Saccharomyces cerevisiae S288C: one gene and its partners. The gene in region 3 interacts genetically with the main gene of each other region. Each region holds a gene or a part of one and is shown on either strand. Other genes may lie near its edges. The genes, in order: MME1, MBA1, SLM1 and ISC1.

Region 1 (5,195 bases), on a different chromosome or scaffold from region 3:
TGCTGCCATTCTGTTCAATTGATCGCAAATAACTCCTCGTGGAATCAGCTTGTCCAGCACTTCTTGCAGTTAGATAGAGTATATTATAGCCATTCCTGGAGATCTCGCTAAATAACTTGGCTACACCCAAGTGCGTCCAGTCTTTTCCTATCATTGCCAGAACATGGCCTAAAGCGTCCGATTTTGTGATGGTGCCATCAATATCACTGATAACAATTGGAACATCCCACCTCCAAACGAATAATTTTGACGTAACAATAGCTTTTCCGTGATCTACGGAAAATTTCAGATCATTTTCACCATAAGTTAAATTTAGGCACTTTAACTGGTCATTAGTCAATCTTATCGTTCGTATGTATCTTTTCTCGGTCTCACCGCTCCCTGCTGTTCCTTTCTTGCTAGTTTTTTCACTTTTACTGCTTTGTTCTTTGCTAAATGATGTTTCGTCCTCAGTATCGGAACCAGAAGGTGAAGAAGATAACGAATTCAAAGTACTTCCTGATTCCATTGCATCTAAGCCTAAAACTGATCCGCTTGTGGCCATTGTTGGAGGCGTACCTGGAGGAGATAAATCAGTAAGGTGCTCGTAAGGATTTACGATCTTGATGTTGCCATTTTTGTCCTCCTTGATAAAACTGGAAATATCTGAATCATTACCGAATTCGTCCTTTAACAACTGCTTCAGTTGTATGTCTGTGTCATGCATCATATTCTTGTTTGGCTTGTAACCTTCAGTGTCTAGTAGTAAGTCGCCATTGTTATCAAGTTTACTGGGTATATGGATTTCAGTGAGTTTTTTGTTTAGTTTTTGCTGAAAGTTCTTTGTACGCTGCTCAACAAGCTTCCTCTCTTCAACTGAATCTGGTGGTGTCGTTGTAGAGGATTCAGTAGGAGAAAGCGACCCTGTAGTTTCACTATTTTTACTGCCTGAATCTCCAGTGTCATTGATATCTAAAAAATCTGGTTCCTCTAGCACTTTCTTTTCCTTCTTCTTATTTTCATTTTCACCTTCACCTTCACCCTCGGTTCCTCCTTCTAAGATGGATGTTTCAGGTGATTGAGGGGGGCTTGATGTGGCGCTCATCACGGGCGACACAAGCAATTCGTCAGGGACATCAGTGACCTGGTCACCCATCTCGAAAACGAAATAGGCTTCTCCAGAATCACTCAGTTTCATTGGCATATTACTCAGTTTCTCATTTATAAACACTTGGACTTTCTTTTGAGATGGCTTTAGAATTTGAAATTTGCCGAACCTCACATGAAAGGGAGAACATGATAGCCTTCCGTCTGGATGCTCCACTACAATGACATCTATAGCACCTGATAGCGTAGCCGGATTGATAGAAGACCATGTTTTAGACACAGACCCAAGAGCTCTGCCTACGTACTGCATAATCGACCGATGTGTCTATCTTCAGTAATTTCTTCCCTGTATGTTTCTTAGAAGGTAAAACTGTGATTACGAAGGTGTAGTGTCCAATTGGTCTGATTAACACTTCTTGAACACGTTTTACTAAATTGTTGAATGTATTTTCTTTATAAACACAAGCCCCCACGATGGCCTACTCTTCACTTGTCCTTGCTCTTCCTTCTACCCTCACCGTGCGCTGCTTTCAACGCTGGCCGGAAAAGCCGAGAAAAAGAGATAGATAATAGAGAAAAGAGAGCCCATTGTCTAAAGGGAGGGAAACCGAAGGACGAAAAGGGCCCGCGACAGACCGTTTAGAGAATGAGCAGCACGTGGGCACTTCGATTTTGTCTCCCAGTGATGTAGTGTTATGATATACAAGATGAGTTTGGACCCTGTTCAAGCAAATCTGTCACATTTGTTAGACTTTTTTTTAAACGAGCCCTCCAAACAAGAACGCTCAGTGTTAGGAACTGCGAACGAAGAGAGAAATGCGTATTAAACTTAGATGAGTATTCTTGCCGTAAATGACTATATACAAAACTTATTCGGAAGAACCTATATCTATGTATGTGAAATGATAAGTACAAGACCCACTGTGATGTGCAGTGATGGCGAATAGGGTGAGGTCCCTTGTACTGTCTTTATTGTAGCCGCTTGTAGGAAAAGTTTTATCACATAAAATTATCCTCTAGAGAGTTAGATGAGCCAGAAATCAGGCTCTTAGTCCGTTGGAAATGCGTTACTTAATCCGCGTAGGGTCATTTGATACAGAAGCAACATTATACTGCTCTGAACACTTGTCCAGACGAATCTAGGGCCAACGCCACTAAAGAAACCTAACACACCTTCAGATTGGTAGACCGTCCGAAGGCTGAGCGAAATCGAGTTGGAAAGTGCTGCCGGTCTGCCGTTTGTTACATGTGGATGTGTTACTGAGTATGATTTGTTGCTTTGGCTGGGCGGCTGTTGAGTTTGGACTCTAGTCTTAACAACATCCATTGGTGTGGTAATGATTCCCGCCAGTCCACCTGCACAGGCACCAGTCAATATTTCATTAGGTATAGACAACTCACCATCCCTACCATCTTTCTGTTCAATCTTGAAAGCCAATTGCCTAAACTTTTCGTAGAAGGCAAACTGCAATGCACTAAATGGCAAATCTCTGGCTAAAGTGGCTTTGTATCCAAAAAATAGTGAGCGAAACCCTTCTTCTTTTATAACTGTCTTTATGGCATTTCTTAAATTCGAATAATTATAGCCAGATTGAAAGAAAGGATTATTGAACCTTCCTTGCAATTGTAGCCTTGTCTTTAGGACCTCTGATGGAACATAAACAAAACTGGAGATAAAATCGCCAAGAAATCCAGCGCTCAAATGTGTGATGGTATCGTTAATCTGCCAATCTTCTATCATTGTTCTCTTAGTATATTCATAGGTCCCAAAGAAGATTGCCGCTGACGGGAAGGAGCCTAACATGGCAGCCATGTAACCGCCGTATAGCCCCCTTCTCACGCCTTCTTCTAGCCAAATGGTACGATATGCAGAGATCATGTTCCTGTATTTTTTGACATTGGGTGCGCCCTGTTGTCTTGTCTTAACAGTATCCAATGAATGCATCGCAGAATCTCCTATTTTTCCACCAATCCCACCGGAGACGACACAATGCCATATAGGGCTTAAGTCCTCATCTGAATCGCCTCTTTTTTTGTGCAGTTTATCATCTTTTCGGTTATTATTTGGTTGATCTGGAGTTCCTTCTGATGTCGGGGGATGGTCATGAGGCGTATGTATTATCGGTATTGAAGAACTCAGGTTCCATGAGTTCATTATCTTTTATACCAGTCGGTTGGAAGTGAAGATTATTATGCGTGCTTCGTTAGAATACTCAGCGTTTGTTTTCGGCTTGCTTTGATGTTTTTTCAAATTAATGAACACAATGTAAGAAGTCGCTATCGTTGTAGGGTCCTAGAGATGTCAAGTTAGAGTTCAATCGCAAGAAAAATAGGAATGTGATACCTTCTATTGCATGCAAAGATAGTGTAGGAGGCGCTGCTATTGCCAAAGACTTTTGAGACCGCTTGCTGTTTCATTATAGTTGAGGAGTTCTCGAAGACGAGAAATTAGCAGTTTTCGGTGTTTAGTAATCGCGCTAGCATGCTAGGACAATTTAACTGCAAAATTTTGATACGATAGTGATAGTAAATGGAAGGTAAAAATAACATAGACCTATCAATAAGCAATGTCTCTCAGAATAAAAGCACTTGATGCATCAGTGGTTAACAAAATTGCTGCAGGTGAGATCATAATATCCCCCGTAAATGCTCTCAAAGAAATGATGGAGAATTCCATCGATGCGAATGCTACAATGATTGATATTCTAGTCAAGGAAGGAGGAATTAAGGTACTTCAAATAACAGATAACGGATCTGGAATTAATAAAGCAGACCTGCCAATCTTATGTGAGCGATTCACGACGTCCAAATTACAAAAATTCGAAGATTTGAGTCAGATTCAAACGTATGGATTCCGAGGAGAAGCTTTAGCCAGTATCTCACATGTGGCAAGAGTCACAGTAACGACAAAAGTTAAAGAAGACAGATGTGCATGGAGAGTTTCATATGCAGAAGGTAAGATGTTGGAAAGCCCCAAACCTGTTGCTGGAAAAGACGGTACCACGATCCTAGTTGAAGACCTTTTTTTCAATATTCCTTCTAGATTAAGGGCCTTGAGGTCCCATAATGATGAATACTCTAAAATATTAGATGTTGTCGGGCGATACGCCATTCATTCCAAGGACATTGGCTTTTCTTGTAAAAAGTTCGGAGACTCTAATTATTCTTTATCAGTTAAACCTTCATATACCGTCCAGGATAGGATTAGGACTGTGTTCAATAAATCTGTGGCTTCGAATTTAATTACTTTTCATATCAGCAAAGTAGAAGATTTAAACCTGGAAAGCGTTGATGGAAAGGTGTGTAATTTGAATTTCATATCCAAAAAGTCCATTTCACCAATTTTTTTCATTAATAATAGACTAGTGACATGTGATCTTCTAAGAAGAGCTTTGAACAGCGTTTACTCCAATTATCTGCCAAAGGGCAACAGACCTTTTATTTATTTGGGAATTGTTATAGATCCGGCGGCTGTTGATGTTAACGTTCACCCGACAAAGAGAGAGGTTCGTTTCCTGAGCCAAGATGAGATCATAGAGAAAATCGCCAATCAATTGCACGCCGAATTATCTGCCATTGATACTTCACGTACTTTCAAGGCTTCTTCAATTTCAACAAACAAGCCAGAGTCATTGATACCATTTAATGACACCATAGAAAGTGATAGGAATAGGAAGAGTCTCCGACAAGCCCAAGTGGTAGAGAATTCATATACGACAGCCAATAGTCAACTAAGGAAAGCGAAAAGACAAGAGAATAAACTAGTCAGAATAGATGCTTCACAAGCTAAAATTACGTCATTTTTATCCTCAAGTCAACAGTTCAACTTTGAAGGATCGTCTACAAAGCGACAACTGAGTGAACCCAAGGTAACAAATGTAAGCCACTCCCAAGAGGCAGAAAAGCTGACACTAAATGAAAGCGAACAACCGCGTGATGCCAATACAATCAATGATAATGACTTGAAGGATCAACCTAAGAAGAAACAAAAGTTGGGGGATTATAAAGTTCCAAGCATTGCCGATGACGAAAAGAATGCACTCCCGATTTCAAAAGACGGGTATATTAGAGTACCTAAGGAGCGAGTTAATGTTAATCTTACGAGTATC
Region 2 (4,680 bases), on a different chromosome or scaffold from region 3:
TATATTTTTTGACGATTCTCCAAACCATTTAGAAAAGATGCGTGCACAAGACAATTCTATTATTATCCCCTTATAATTAGTATCAATGGTATCGGAACCGTCTGAAAATTCCCGCCTCACAGATAATTTTTGGCAAAGTGCTTTGCATAACGTTGTTTTACCTGTTCCCGGAGGACCATGGACAAGGAGTAATTTATTATTTGTGATTAGCGTTGTAATGTCTTCTTGATTGGAGTCTCCAGTTTGTTTGAATCTTGCTATCTTGAGAGATATAGTTGCGTAGCTATATAACCTTTCTTTAATATTGTTACCAAAATACAACGATTCCCATTGGCCCTCGAAAGTTGTGCCTGGAAGATATGATATATTTACTAAGTTTAGTGTTTGCTTACTTAGTGGAATGTCAAAATTTCCCACCGAATTGATACAATTGTTTAAAGTTTCTCCCTCAAAACCATCATCCTCGTCTAGTTCTAAGTCAATCTTGTCGAACTCTGTGGACAGTATGCTGCCATTTTTCAGCTCATCTTGCTCTTCCAGACAGCAAAAGGGATATATAATGAACTCGTCAACAGATCCCATGTGATAAGTGTCCGACTCGTTGGTCTCCTCTGAATCTAAAATAGAATCTATGTGCTGACCCAAATTTATTTTCTCATGAAAGTTCAATTTAATAGAGACGTGTGATGTGGACTGTTGCTCTATAGAAATTTTTTTAACGAATAAGGATAGAAACAAATTATCTTGTCCTTCATTTACTGTGTTAACTTTGCCATTTATGCTTGAAAACTGGTGTAATAAAACTTTTGCTAGGCTTCTAATCAAATGTTGTTGCGCCTCCGTTGGTGGATCCTTAATTTCAATACTTCCTTGCCCCTCTCTCATTAATTCTTGGCCAGTTATAATCGAAGTCTTTAAACGGTCTTTTGGGAAACTTTCCAACTTCCTCTTGACCACTGCTTTTAACAGATTCAAAAATTCTCCCAGCTTTTTGTTGCTGTTTTGTTTCGAGTCAGAACCAGAATGTAGAGAAGAAATTTGCTCATCCTCTCTAAACATACATTTGATAACCCTCAGAGATGATCCTCGCACTTGTAGGTCAACTATGTAGCTCATATCCTTATTTTATGTCTTCAGTTTGAGATCAGAATATTTTTATGAAAATGTTGTCACTCTCTTTTAACCGCCTCGCATTTCGTAGATTTGCCGCCCACCTTATTGTCAACGGCAAATCTAAGGATATATATACATATATATATATTTTTGAGAAAGATTATATTTTCGCCAACGATGAAAAAGAGAAAAGTACAGTACTATGTATTATGTGTTTTTCAACTCAAGAGAGGGGCAAACATATAACTGGTGCTATATATGATTAAGGCTGCGCTCAAATATACTTCTTACTTAATTGACTGAACAATACGTTGATAAGATGAAGGAAGAGTCTCAGATATTGGTTTCACAAAAAATTCAGAGAATGGAGTCATTTCGGTTACGGGCAATCTTTCGGTGATTGGTACGGAGTATCGCGATCTTTACACGTTCCACTAGTCAATCCAATCCAATTTATTCATTTGTCCGTAAATATTCTGCCGGCCTTCTCCCCATATTACAAAATAAAAAAATAAAACCTGAGTAATGGAATAGTTGGAAAAGCAAGGCAAATTTCCATCAGAAAGCAAGCCTATCCATTCAGCTAAGCTTATGAGATGAGTGTATTAAGATCTACATGCCTTTTCTTCCCTCCAAGATCCTTGTTGATATCATTTAACAAGCGGCGATTATTTTCAACTTCGAGGTTAATTTTGAATAAAGAAAGTGAAACTACAAAGAAGAAAGATAAAAGTAAGCAGCAAGATTTTAATCCTCGGCACCTGGGTGTTGCTGCCGAAATATTTATCCCCTCGGCTTACAAGAACCTTCCAAATGTATTTGCTCATCCTCTCATTGTTGCAAATGCATTGATCAGAAGACTTTACACGTTTGGTTTGAACTCTGTTCAAGTCGCATTGTTTCGTTTTCAATCAGGCATTAAACCTTCTTTTTTACTCTGGAAAAACAAAGCCATAGAGACGTATATCAATGTAAACACGTCATTTGCTCATAAAAATTTGTCGGACATCAAAGGGTTAGTTTCATTATGGGTTCAGGAAGCTCTCGAGGCTAGGTCCCGTCAACTTCCAGGTAATGCAACACTGGACTGGCAGTTGATAAAGTTTAATGCAGTTCCTAAACTAGTCTCAGTGCAACCAATCATGATTCCCGGAATGCCGTTAGAGCATTTACAGTTGGTTTACAAATTTGATACGAAGCAAAGACTAATTAAAGTCAATCAGCAAACTAAGAAGACTGAGACGTTAGACCGTGACGTTGTAGACTATATTGCCTTTTTGTGTGATGCTACAACTAATGATATGATTTTAATGGGATCTTTGTTTGAAAGTAAACCAAATGATAAATTACCGAAAAGCTACGAGGACGATGCTAAAGTTGCCATACACAGAATGAAAGTTAACGGTGATATATATCGTTTACCTCCAAGCTAAGGCAATATGTATATAAATGCGAAAAGTTTTGGAACATCTGTAAATAGCCATTGCTTCATTTGAGTTTCTTATTCCACATACCACTTACATATTCAGTAAAAACTATTCATTTGTTTTTCATTCTGAAGTATATATATTAAATTTATTAAATAGTTTTTCATGAAAAAAGTTATTGAAGCATCTCCCTTTCAATAGTGCATTAACTCTCCCATTCTAACCCATCTTTCCGTTGAATCGTCATAGAACAATGTTTCTGACAGATTGGTTTTCCTATAACGATCTTTGCAGCACAATCTGTGAAATAATTTCCATAAGCCGGTAAGAATAGTCCTGTTATAGCTGATACTACCTTGTACATAATTCATATCACTGAGCTTTGCTTCATCTTTTAGAGGCTGAGACTTCTCAAAACCTTCTGCGCTATCCAAACGATAGGTGCTGATTTCTTTTAATGCCAATGAATTATTAGAACACTTCCTACATTTAAGAACAACCTCTTCCTCGGACCTTCTCTTTCTATTTTCTGTATCAAAAGAACTGTCTTTTTCAATTGCTGCTGTGTTGTGAGGAATAGATCGATAAAGTACTTTTTTTTGCCCTGTTCGAATAACAAAAAGAAATAATGTCAATTCATTTGCACTGTAACAGTAATCAGCGCTAAAACCCTTAGGATGATATCGATGATTTGAAAGTATAATTGTGAAGCCACTATATATATCACGCAGTAGCGTAAACTGTGCTGCTTCGGACTTCAAAAGTTGAATAGCGTATCGTGTGCATTCCCAAATATTATCGACAACGTTTGGATAGAGAATAAAGGATGTGTATACGGTTATTTCATGATGGGGTAGAAAACTGAGTGTAGAAGAAATATTTGCAATACAATTCGATTTAACTTGAAGTTGATAATTAAAATTGCTGAAGAAAACTCCGCTATTACAATTTTCAGAGGTGACTATTAAGTCATTTCTCTTCATTTGTAAAAGTGAGAATAATCGTAATATTTGCTTACAGTAAGGAAGACGTATCGCATTAGGTATCTTATCTTCTGAATTGTAATCATATCCGGAAACTTTTTTGGTTCCTCTTACTGCTGCAAATAGAGACGAATCTGAAATATCTCCCTCTTGTACGTCTTTTTTGGGTAAATCAATATTTCCCTGAATTTCTTGGACTTTAGAACATGAAAGATTTTTCCGTTTGCGATTTTTATTGCGTCTGCTAGCAATCTTCTCTATAAGTGCACATATGTCTTCATTGGGGATTTGGGACCAATTCTGATTTTCTATATCGGTATTTTGATTCTCATTTGTTGGGAAATACTTCGTCTTTTGTAATGGGGCAGATTGCCTTCTAGTTTTATTTTTTTTATCTGCTATGTCTTCTAAAATTTTACAAATTCTGCTCGTACTGAGTTGAGACCAATCGTGCCCTTTCTCAACATGGACGTTTTCCTTCTTGAGACATGGGATAGTTTTCATTGATAGTTCCATTTTGTTTTCACTTGCGCTCGTTTTGGCATGTTGAATGGCATCCGCCAGCATTCTTGCTTTTGGGTAATAAGGACAAATATCCATTATATCCAAATCTTCCTTTTCCTCATAGCCTGTAAAATTATTAGGTTCGGATACTGTGTGCTCTATGTTGTTATTAAATGTTATTATTGGTCTTTTGTGGTTTCTTAATATTGTTCCACTATCGTATTGAAAGTTTGATTTTTCAGAAGCCAAAATAGCATTCAATACATTATTTTGGTACATGTCCCGAATTAGCTAACAAATTTCTTAGTATTTGTGTTACAACAATTAGAGATTTTGTTTTGTTTATTTACTTTCATCAATTCACGTTATTTTGCCGCCGACGGCTTTGAGACCGCACAAAGTTTTTTTTCACCAGAGCAATAAGCTGGGTCATTTAAACTATTCGCAAATCAAGGATTCAAAAGATCTTTTCTTAGATATATTTTCTTCGTGATTCGTCATTAAATAGAACATGAAATAAAAAAAATAAAAAATAAATATGCCTATACATTATGAATATATATTATGCTATAATTATTACTTCTCCTTTTTAACTTCAATTGATTGATCTTCTACGTATGGGCCAAATAGTTCAAGTGAATATCTTGTTGAGG
Region 3 (5,819 bases):
TCGATGTAGCGATTTCAAATTAGTAGCGCTATTTTCAGGAGAGTCAGAAGGTGTATTTTCTTCAGTGATTCCAGGAGAGTTCCAATTGCTCGATATAGGAGTATCGCTCAAAGGTCTTTTCTGAAAAAGTGGTAAGTGCTTAGATAATTCATCATGCGGACCCTTTTCAGCATCAATTTTATCATCGGAACTCCGGGATAAAAGATCATAACTGGAGTCTTGACTAGGTGCCACATGGTGTGGAGATTGTGTAGGAGCAAGATCAATATCAGGCGGCACAGGAGATGTTTCAGAGAAGTCTACTGGTTTGAACATGAGCTTTTATTCCTCTTGCCTTTGTTCCCTTGAATAAACCCTTCTTCTACGCCTCTTGTTATTATTTTTACTCTTTTAGCTTATGGCACAAAAGTACACAAATAGATACTAAAAGGCGAAATTTATTTCACTTGATTTACCCGTAACTGAATACTTGAGTTTGTCTATATATATATATGTATACCTTTTATTGTTAAAAAAAGAATATGCCAACAAAATCTATAATAAATAGTCCATGTACTCCACTATAAATTAATTTGCTATTGTCAGTAATGGCGCGATTAAAAATAAATAGGAAAAGAAATCTCTCCTCAAAAAATCTTATGTCCCCTAATTTCCGTATGTTGTGATTTTGGTATTCAGAGATGATCACGTGATATAAACGTGATTATTATTATCGGTCGGGTATCCCACTCGTATAATATGACAAATACGTTCGATCAAAAGAAGGGTAATACTACTTCCCAAAATGGAAATATCAAAACGTTAGAAGAATTACAATTATAGCTTTGGTAACATTACTGATCTAAAAGAGCCTTAGCTCAGCCCGTTTGAGCTGTATAGATATTTTTTTAGTTTATTCGAGAGAAAACCGGTTTTTTTGTTAGTATCTTCAACAAAATTTTCCTAATTCAATAAGGACTTCAATTTCCATGTCTTTTCTACAAAATTTGTATGTTGCTATTTTCTTTTCTACTTCAAGTATTATTGTTCATCTTTTATTAACAAACTGGGTATGAGTTACCTTTTGAAAGCAGTCATATAAGTCCCGGCCAAACAATAAGATCTACTAGAGGTTTCAAGTGGAATACTGCCAATGCAGCTAATAATGCAGGCTCTGTATCGCCTACTAAGGCAACTCCCCATAACAATACTATTAACGGCAATAATAATAATGCCAATACTATTAACAATAGAGCAGATTTTACAAACAATCCAGTAAACGGATATAATGAAAGCGACCATGGAAGGATGTCTCCCGTCCTCACTACGCCAAAGAGGCACGCCCCTCCGCCTGAACAATTACAAAATGTAACGGACTTTAACTATACACCATCGCATCAGAAGCCGTTTCTACAACCGCAAGCAGGTACGACAGTTACAACACATCAAGACATCAAGCAAATTGTGGAGATGACACTGGGGTCTGAGGGAGTCCTTAACCAAGCTGTGAAGTTACCGCGTGGTGAGGATGAGAATGAATGGCTAGCGGTTCATTGCGTGGATTTTTACAATCAGATTAATATGTTATACGGGTCCATCACAGAATTTTGCTCCCCACAAACATGCCCGAGGATGATAGCGACGAACGAATATGAATATCTTTGGGCATTTCAAAAGGGTCAGCCCCCCGTTTCGGTAAGTGCCCCTAAGTATGTGGAATGTTTGATGAGGTGGTGTCAAGACCAATTTGATGACGAATCTCTTTTTCCTTCCAAAGTCACCGGTACCTTCCCGGAGGGATTCATCCAACGAGTAATTCAACCAATTCTAAGGCGATTATTCAGAGTTTATGCGCATATTTACTGTCATCATTTTAATGAAATTCTTGAACTAAATTTACAAACCGTACTAAACACAAGTTTTAGACATTTTTGTCTTTTTGCACAAGAGTTCGAACTACTAAGACCGGCTGATTTTGGTCCGCTGTTAGAATTAGTGATGGAGTTGAGGGATAGGTAGTATTGTATATTTATATAAGTCTGCTTGTAGGTTGTATTCTTCCATGCATGGGACACAAAAACAAAAATACGGAAACATATTAATATAACATATGGATGGAAGGAAATAAAAACATTCTAGTTTACTATACTTGTATTTATGATTTGAAATCGTTTATTGGAGTTTGAATATAAATATTGGGAACTTGATCTTGTAATTCAGAATCATTAGTATCAGGTAATGAAGACATGGATGTATTCGTATTTGTTTGATTGTCCAATTTTGGTGTTACCGTGGACCCCACATAATTACTATTTATATCATCGTTTTCATCATTTTCTACCATTGTGCTATTGGCATTACTCAGCTGATACTTATTAATGCTGGTATGGTTATTGGTTAGCTTGGGTTTCCCATCTGAATTCAAGTTTAATTTTTGTGTTATGAATTTATACTTGTCTTGTATATTCGAAGTAGATGTTAAGATCTTCAAATTATCAAACCAAGACATCATTGATTCATAAGAATCGGCTTTAAAAACCCAATTGTGACCACGACGAATTATGCCGTTTTGCTTAGCATGCAACACAAACTTAGCATCCGAACCAGTCGAATTTGGTGATGATGTACTGTTTTTCCGGGAATGTTCCGTCACAGTACATTCACTTAATGCTAACGACATCACTGGTACTAAATCTTTTTTTCTGTCCGCGGTCTTGAATTCATGTAAAAAGTTCGGTGTCAGCACATAATACCCTTTTGAATAGGATTTTAGAAATTTTGATCTTCTTTCTAAAAACCCTGATTTGATTTCATAAGTCAAAGGATCGAATTGGTATTTGTAAACGATTTCTTTGAATGTCCTCATCGGTAGATTAGGCAATAAAAAGTTGGGATCCCTTGAAATGAAGTTATCCCATTCAAATTGTGGGTCAACGTTGAAAAATCCAGAATCTAATTTGGATATCAATATATCGAAAACCAATTGTGCTTCTTGTCCCAGTAATCTGGCATATATTGTTAAAGAGTTTTGAATTTCCATAACTACAATTTTTTCTAATTCAGCGCCTGAAGTCTCTAAATTATCAAAAGCTTCATGCAGAAAGTTTTCCTCCTGAAGTTGCTTTTTAATTTGTCTATCAAGCGCCAGCTTGGTTAAGAATGGATCTTGTTTTGGCACTGAATAGCGCGCATCCTTTAAAGACTCCTGAAATTGCTTCATGGCCTGTTTTGTTTGTTGTAACTCTTTGGAACAAGAATTTTTGAAATCCGACTGCAGTGATTTTATTTCCTTTATCTTGACTATTAGATCTCTCCTCAAGTCTTCCAAACGAGGAATAACATCATTGGTCAATTCCCTTGATGCCTTAGACGCGCTGGATGCTAGGGATTCATGATACTGGTTCAAAATTGTTGGTAAGTCCTGTATCGAGCCATTACCCAATGGCAAAAAAAACTTTTGTACTGATTTATCCTCCTGCGAGCTTGGTTGGTATTGATTCTCGATCGAAAAGAATGGGAATTGTACAGCATGTGATAATCTTAGTTGCTGTCTAACAATTTCATCCTGAATAGAAGCGATTTCTGTTAAGTAAACGATCACCGACTTGATGACATTTCTCCAAGCTGAAAACCTCGCTGCAAGAATATCTGTTGGTTGCGCAGCTGTAGGGACCAGTATTACTAATGGAGATCTAGGATCTTGTTGTTGTTGCTGTTGCTGAGCAAGTCTTTGACGTTGTAAGGAAGACCTAGCCCTCGACAGTATTGAAGTGTTGGTTAAAGAGTTTTTCCCTTGGAGCTGTTTCCCGTTGTTATTATTGGGATCTGGGACAGCAATGGTTACATTGGTGTTCGAGTCGATATTAGGAGAACCATTGCTTATGATACCTTGCAACCCTCCAGAATTCATCGTCAGCGTCCTATTGTTTTGAAACGTTGAATTACTAGTGGAAGGAACTGGTTGTCCATTCAAATAGCTTTGTTGGTTTATATCGGATGTCAAACTGCCATTTTGAAAGCTTGCGCTCTGCTGCTGTTGCTGCTGCTGCTGCTGTTGTTGTTGTTGTTGTTGTTGCTGTTGTTGTAAAACGTTGGCATGATCTGCTGAAGTCATACTTCTCGTATGCTGCTGCAAGTTATGCAGGTGCTGAAGATTTAGCTGTTGCTGTGACAGCATATCAGAGACCGCAGAGGTCATTGTGTTGTTTTTCGACATTTTTTTTTCTTTTAATGTTGTATTCTTTTATTGTTAACTACTTTTTTTCTTTAAAAAGCTTCAAAAGAAGATGACCAAATGCAGATATAAGAACACTCTAATAGGTTGTACCAATTCAAGGGCTCAACAGATGTCCTCGTTGTTTTTCCCCCCCCCAGCTTGGATCGCTGTCACTCTTCAAGGCTTGAAAGCCTTCTCCCTTCTTCGATGGAATACGTAATGCCATGAGGGGAAAAGCCGCGGGAAGAGAAGGGTAACCCAATTTTAGGCCCCTGCAGGAACGTTAATCAATATATACTCTATCTAATGCAGTAATCTACGCTAAACATTCAAATGATCTTCATTGTGGGTTCTGCTGCTGCTCTCGGTATTCAGACTCTGCCAAAATTTCCATCTCTCTTATATTTAGTGTCTCCCACTCAGGTTCGCCAGTTTGTTCGTTGAACGATGCAATACATTCAAATTCAATATCCTGCTTGGAAAGTGACTCTTGCTCTTTTCTCATTTCCAAGGCCAGACTTCTTATGACGTTCTCACTACCCTGAGAAATGAACCACGCAGTCAGATCATCCAAGAGAACTTTGTCGTAGACGTAGTAAACATCATGGAAACGAAATGTTTCATGAATGTCCAAAAGCGCCCTTATGACTAGTCTCTTACCACCTCGTAGAATATAATATACGAATGTCCACGCTTTCATTGCTAGGTCATAGTTTCTATGTAGTGGATAACTCAGGGCTCTCCTGATACCTGTAATGATTGCAATCTTGATGAGAGAGCTGTCTTTATTAACCTTTGATATTTCTTTCATACCGTCTTGCAGTTCGTTCACCTGTTTTAATTGTTGGTCTAAGAATGATATTTGAGGGCACAATTTTCCCATGGTCCAAGCACTCTCTGTGGTATGAGTACCTTCGTTTTCGATCTGTTCAAACACATAACTGAAAAGAACGCTGAGTATAGTGACATAAAGTGGTTTTATATCTTCCACGAGATAAGACTTCTTGGGTAAATTGTCCTGCATCTGTTTTTGTTCCTCGTCAGTAAACTCAATTGGCATGACCAGATTTGGGTTCGTACTGTCTTTGTACCATTGCAGGTATTGCTTTACGATCGAAGGTGTAAACTTCAGTAGTTCTTTAATGCCGTTAATTTCCAAGTCTTCCTCGTTACCGTATTTATGTGTCATATACTCGGAAACATAGTACTCAGGATCAAACTTCAAATTTTCTTTTCTTAACCTTTCAATAACTCTATCGTTCGCGTCAGTGTGTTCAGGATCGTCTAATTCATTGATATCGTTCCCGTTGCTTGTCGACACTGATATAACTGTATCATATAAGTTATCAAACCCATATTTTGTCTTCAATATTCCATTATTGGTGCTGGAATCCATCTTTTGCTCTATCTCCCAATTAAACCCCTCTCCCATTTGACCAATAGTCTTCACATCATCTTTAATATTATTCGACACGCCATCAGTTTCGACCTCTTGAATAAGGGGCTTTTGGGTTTTTTTCGCATCAGTATTTTCTGTTAATGCATCGGCACCTGCAAGATCGCCTTGCCTAGCCAACAACTTTGTCGGTAGGTCCAAATCTTCGAAATATTCATTTTTATTCAG
Region 4 (5,213 bases), on a different chromosome or scaffold from region 3:
GGCATAGCCTAAAGCACCTTGTCCACGCGGGATGATGCTTACTTTCAGAAGTGGATCCGCATATTTTAGAAACCAACCACAAACGGCATGTCCTGCCTCATGATAGGCCACTGACCTTTTTTCTTCCTTAGAAAGGACTCTTGTTTTCTTCTCTAGTCCCGCAATGACTCTTTCAATGGCTTGCTCAAAGTGATGGATAGTGATATATGGGTCATTATGTCTGGCAGCGATTAATGCAGCCTCATTACAAGCATTAGCGATATCTGCACCAGTAAAACCTGGAGTAAGCGTAGCCAATTTCCCAGAAAGATTATTCATATCATCTGTAAGAAGGGGATCCAGATTCAGTCTTTTCAAGTGAACCAGGTATATTTGCTGCCTACCATTGACATCAGGAGAATCAATTTGGATATGTCTATCGAACCTTCCCGGTCTCATCAAAGCATTATCCAACACATCGGGCCTATTTGTACCCGCAAGGACTACGACTTGGTCGGAAGTAGTGAATCCGTCCATTTCCACCAATAATTGATTCAGCGTAGCTTCTCTTTCATCGTTAGCGCCACCGAGAGCGCCGCCTTTGCCTCTTTCTTTACCGATAGCGTCAATTTCATCTATAAAGATAATCGAGGGGGCCATAGACCTTGCTTGAGTAAACAAGTCTCTTACACGTGAAGCACCCACCCCAACGAACATTTCGACGAACTCAGAACCTGATACTGACAAGAAGGGCACGTTCGCCTCACCTGCGGTGGCCTTGGCCAAGAGAGTCTTACCGGTACCTGGGGGTCCAGAAAGAATAGCGCCTCGTGGAATCTTGGCACCCAATTTAGTGTACTTACCTGGGTTCTTCAAAAAGTGAACAAATTCCATGATTTCCTGTTTAGCTTCATCACAACCGGCAACATTTTTAAATGAAATTTTAATGTCTGTTTCCTTATTGAAGAGCTTTGCTCTGGATTTTCCAACATTAAACATGCCGCCGAGGCCTCCTCCACCACCACCATTGGCATTTGGTGGTGAACTATTTATTTTTCTGGTTATGAAGTAAAGGCCACCAAGCAGAATGATGGTGGGCAGGAAGGGGAACAAAAATGTGAAGGGAGAAGATCTCTCAATGTATTTGATGGGGATACGATCCCGAGGAGGAATGTTCAAGAGGTCCTGGATCTGGTCCATCTGTTCCTCAAAAATATCTACTGAACCAATGGTGAACGATACAACTTGCTTTGTATTGACTAATTCGGCCTCTACGAGAAACTTATTAACGACGTAAATCTTGGACACAAGACCCTTCTCCAGGTATTTTGTTTTGAAATCCTGGAAAGTCAAGACGCGGTTAGAGTCGTCTCCTGAGTTGTTACTGGAAGGTGTGAGCAAAGTAAATATAATTGTGAATCCGATGGTCAAAAACATCGTATTAGCAAATTCCTTAGATCTGAAGTATTCTGATAATGAACCAAACTCATTTCTTTTGTCTTTGCCATCTTCTTTATTGCTATTATTATCTTTATTACCATTGTTCTTGCCCTCACCCTCTTTGTTTGGCCTATTTTCATTTAACCTTGTCCATGAGATATGGAAGGAACGTATTTGGGTAGAACGGTGTATTGTGTTTCTGGTTGCCAGACCAGATAACGTCTGCAAACGCTGGTGAACTGGCATGCGCGAGCGAAGCACTGGCTTCACTGTTGATATGCGGCTAGCTTTACCAAATGAGAGTGATGTCAATGAGCGTGGCGCACCCCTTGCATATCGTTGCCACATCATCATCACTTAGTATATTATAAAATAAGTGGATGATGCCTTTATTTGAAGACTGCGTTAATCTCCTTTAATATAGAATGGGTCCTTGTAAAAGTTATGTATAGACAGTAAGAACCAATTTATTCCTCATCTAAATCATAGGCCCAGAATAAACTGAACAGATGCGTATAAAGGCGTTATAAAGATGCCAGAAGCATATCGCGGGCCACGACTAAAAATGCCGCGAGGTCGCCCTGGACGGTAAGCACGTGCTCAAGTGTTGCCCGACTCTTGGGGTCCAGCGCCGGGTGAGAGTTTCCGATCACGTGGTCTCCGTGCATCGCGACTTCGATCCAGCAGCGTGAATCATCGCCGAATACGAAACGTACGTCATGCACATCGCTGGCTCCGGGTAGTACACGAAGCTGCAACAGCCGTTCGTACAGTGCGACCTCTGCGGCATCGTTACCCGACTGCGCAGCCCAACGTGCGCGTAATTGGACACACTCTTTACCACGCTGTTGCAGCAGCGAGTCCAGCTCGCGCGATTGGGCTGCTAAGGTCGACTGCCGTCTAGATAACTCAGATTCACGCTCGTGATAGCTTCTCCACTGCTCTCTGGTGGTATTTGTAGCTTGTTGGGCCGCATGTATTTGTTGCTGCAGAGCGGTGCGCTGGGTGGCAAGCCGTTGCAGTTCATCTATGAGATGTTGGTGTTGGTTATGTAATTGACGCATTTCCGCTTGGAACTGTTGCAGCTGTTGGCGCGCGTGGTTTTGCTGACGTGCCAGTACCTGGGCCACGTCCTTTTGGAACCCGTCCATCCGGCGCTCAAGGTCCGAAAATGCGTCTATGCTGGCCATTCTTGTATGTGTGTATGTGTTGTATACGTATGAGCGGTTTTAATTGAATCGGCTTAGCCTGTTTTTGTTTTTGTTTTTGTTTTGTTTTGGTTTGGTTTGATTTATTTTGGTTTGGCTTAAATCTTCGAGGAAATTTGCGCTTTCCGCGTAAAAAGGGAAAAAAAGCAGATATATGTACAACAGAAAAGACAGAGATGTTCACGAGAGGAAGGAAGATGGTCAATCTGAGTTTGAAGCACTGAACGGGACCAACGCAATTATGTCCGATAATAGTAAAGCGTATTCCATAAAGTTTCTGACCTTCAATACATGGGGGTTAAAATACGTCTCCAAACACCGTAAAGAAAGACTCAGAGCAATTGCTGATAAATTGGCGGGCCACTCAATGCTTACGCCAATATCTGACGAGTTGTTGCCCAATGGTGGAGATAGTAATGAAAACGAAGATTACGACGTGATTGCCTTACAAGAAATCTGGTGTGTGGAAGACTGGAAGTATCTAGCTTCTGCGTGTGCCTCCAAGTATCCGTATCAGCGTTTGTTCCATTCTGGTATTCTGACGGGGCCTGGGTTGGCCATACTGTCCAAGGTCCCGATAGAGTCGACCTTTCTTTACCGGTTCCCGATAAACGGTAGACCGAGTGCGGTGTTCCGTGGCGACTGGTACGTAGGGAAATCTATAGCAATCACCGTATTGAACACAGGAACCCGCCCCATTGCAATAATGAACAGTCACATGCACGCCCCATACGCCAAGCAGGGTGATGCCGCCTACTTGTGCCACAGATCTTGTCAGGCCTGGGATTTCAGCAGGCTCATTAAGCTTTACAGGCAGGCCGGTTATGCGGTGATTGTGGTGGGTGACTTAAACTCCAGACCGGGCTCACTGCCCCACAAATTTCTCACGCAGGAGGCCGGCCTGGTCGACTCCTGGGAGCAATTGCATGGGAAGCAAGACTTGGCGGTGATCGCTCGTCTGTCTCCATTGCAACAATTGCTTAAGGGCTGTACCACGTGCGATTCGCTGCTCAACACATGGAGGGCCCAAAGACAACCCGATGAGGCATGCAGGTTGGATTATGCTCTTATCGACCCTGATTTCTTGCAAACAGTAGACGCAGGTGTCAGGTTCACTGAACGGATCCCTCACCTGGACTGCAGTGTCTCTGACCATTTTGCATACTCATGCACCCTTAACATCGTCCCACAGGGCACAGAGTCCCGTCCATCCACCTCCGTTAAGCGTGCGAAGACTCATGATAGAGAGCTGATCTTGCAGAGATACTCCAACTACGAAACCATGATAGAATGCATCCACACGTACTTGAAGACAGCCCAAAGACAGAAATTTTTCCGTGGCCTACATTTCTGGGCCTCAATACTTCTCCTAATAGCGTCGTTGGTCGTGACAACGTTTACTGCAAACAAGGCAGGCTGGTCCTCCATCTTCTGGGTCCTTTTCGCTATTGCTGTCTCCATCTCGGGCACCATCGACGGTGCCATCTCCTTCTTGTTTGGCAGGTCTGAAATCAGAGCCCTCATCGAAGTCGAACAAGAGGTTCTGGACGCGGAGCACCACCTGCAAACTTTCTTGAGCGAGAAATGATATTATCGATTTTCTTTAGCATATGTAAAAAAATTACTGATATTATATAATGTGTGTAAATTTCGTCAATAGATGCAAAGCAATCACGGAGAAGATGAAACCGACAGATAGGAACAATACGACAAGGGAGTCGACTCTGAATCCATTGGCTTCGTCCGTATATAACTTCAAAATTGAGCTTGAAGACCCACCGTAACCAGCCTGTCTGGTGGAAGTGGGCGTTTGTTTTGCTTGCTTTTCCTTAATGGATTGTGCCTGTCTTCTCTTCTGCAAGATACGCTGACCTCCTGGTGGAACTGAAGCTGCCATTCTTATGATACTGTTGATCGATAATACCACCTGTTTTATGCTTTGCGCCCCTTACCTTTTCTCACACGCACATATATCTACTCTCTCATACCTCTTATATCTAAAATGTCTCTTTTGGCCAGTTAGTAACTGAATGAAAAAGTGAAAATGGAGGAAAAAAAAAAAGACGAAATCCAAAAGGCTAAGGAAACGGGTAACCCGTGGTACCCGGGGCAGAATCAAACTTATAATTACTAAAGATATACCATATATTACGATCCCTGCGCCCGGCGTGCTCCACATTAAGTAAATGTCTGGAGTAAAATGAAGTCCGCCAATTCAGTCACAAAACATGACTACTGCCTCGTTCGCGATTTCTTCTTCCCTTACTTCATCATGTTCAAGCCCCCTCAGCTGCGCCCAAATGATTCTTCTTATCCTCTTGCATACTGCACCGAAAAAAAAAGTTAATAAGCAGCAGGATTTATAGGCGCGTGCGTGCAGCCTTAGACTGAAGGGGTGGAAAAACTTTAGGTAGGTTTGGTTCTCACTACCCAAAGAGCAATCGATAGGTATAAAAGTGAGCAATTGCTATCACAGCGAGCCTTATTGTTACAGCACAAATCACGCGTATTTTCAAGCAAATATCATGGGTCTCTGCGCATCTTCAGAAAAGAACGGCAGCACTCCTGACACGCAGACCGCCAGCG

The links.
Region 1: mutations in SLM1 (region 3) and MME1 together harm fitness more than expected from each alone (negative genetic interaction), as found in Saccharomyces cerevisiae (2 studies listed by BioGRID).
Region 2: mutations in SLM1 (region 3) and MBA1 together harm fitness more than expected from each alone (negative genetic interaction), as found in Saccharomyces cerevisiae (2 studies listed by BioGRID).
Region 4: of SLM1 (region 3) and ISC1, a mutation in one rescues a mutant of the other (synthetic rescue), as found in Saccharomyces cerevisiae (one study listed by BioGRID).

Annotation. Positions count from the first base shown.
Region 1 is NC_001145.3:591,233-596,427, forward strand, and holds MME1 (Mme1p), read right to left. Parts: upstream 3,242-5,195; coding exon 2,135-3,241; downstream 1-2,134. Other genes in the region: phosphatidate phosphatase PAH1, read right to left, coding at 1-1,396; mismatch repair ATPase MLH1, read left to right, coding at 3,654-5,195.
Region 2 is NC_001134.8:596,989-601,668, reverse strand, and holds MBA1 (Mba1p), read left to right. Parts: upstream 1-1,709; coding exon 1,710-2,546; downstream 2,547-4,680. Other genes in the region: PCH2 (Pch2p), read right to left, coding at 1-1,116; YBR184W (uncharacterized protein), read right to left, coding at 2,735-4,306; YPC1 (phytoceramidase), read right to left, coding at 4,604-4,680. UniProt on the Saccharomyces cerevisiae protein: Mitochondrial inner membrane-associated mitoribosome receptor that spatially aligns the mitoribosome exit tunnel with the membrane insertion machinery and allows cotranslational protein membrane insertion.
Region 3 is NC_001141.2:165,447-171,265, forward strand, and holds SLM1 (phosphatidylinositol 4,5-bisphosphate-binding protein), read right to left. Parts: upstream 4,196-5,819; coding exon 2,135-4,195; downstream 1-2,134. Other genes in the region: PFK26 (6-phosphofructo-2-kinase), read right to left, coding at 1-315; MOB1 (Mob1p), read left to right, coding at 969-988, 1,074-1,998; YIL105W-A (uncharacterized protein), read left to right, coding at 2,218-2,358; Hsp90 cochaperone SHQ1, read right to left, coding at 4,536-5,819. UniProt on the Saccharomyces cerevisiae protein: Together with SLM2, acts as an effector of the TORC2- and calcineurin-signaling pathways. Phosphorylated and activated by TORC2 under favorable growth conditions. Mediates actin polarization via inhibition of calcineurin-dependent transcription.
Region 4 is NC_001137.3:190,016-195,228, forward strand, and holds ISC1 (inositol phosphosphingolipid phospholipase), read left to right. Parts: upstream 1-2,781; coding exon 2,782-4,215; downstream 4,216-5,213. Other genes in the region: AAA family ATPase AFG3, read right to left, coding at 1-1,773; kinetochore-associated Ndc80 complex subunit SPC25, read right to left, coding at 1,944-2,609; Arf family guanine nucleotide exchange factor SBH2, read right to left, coding at 4,258-4,524; GPA2 (guanine nucleotide-binding protein subunit alpha), read left to right, coding at 5,153-5,213. UniProt on the Saccharomyces cerevisiae protein: Responsible for the hydrolysis of the phosphosphingolipids (IPS), inositol phosphorylceramide (IPC), mannosylinositol phosphorylceramide (MIPC), and mannosyldiinositol phosphorylceramide (M(IP)2C).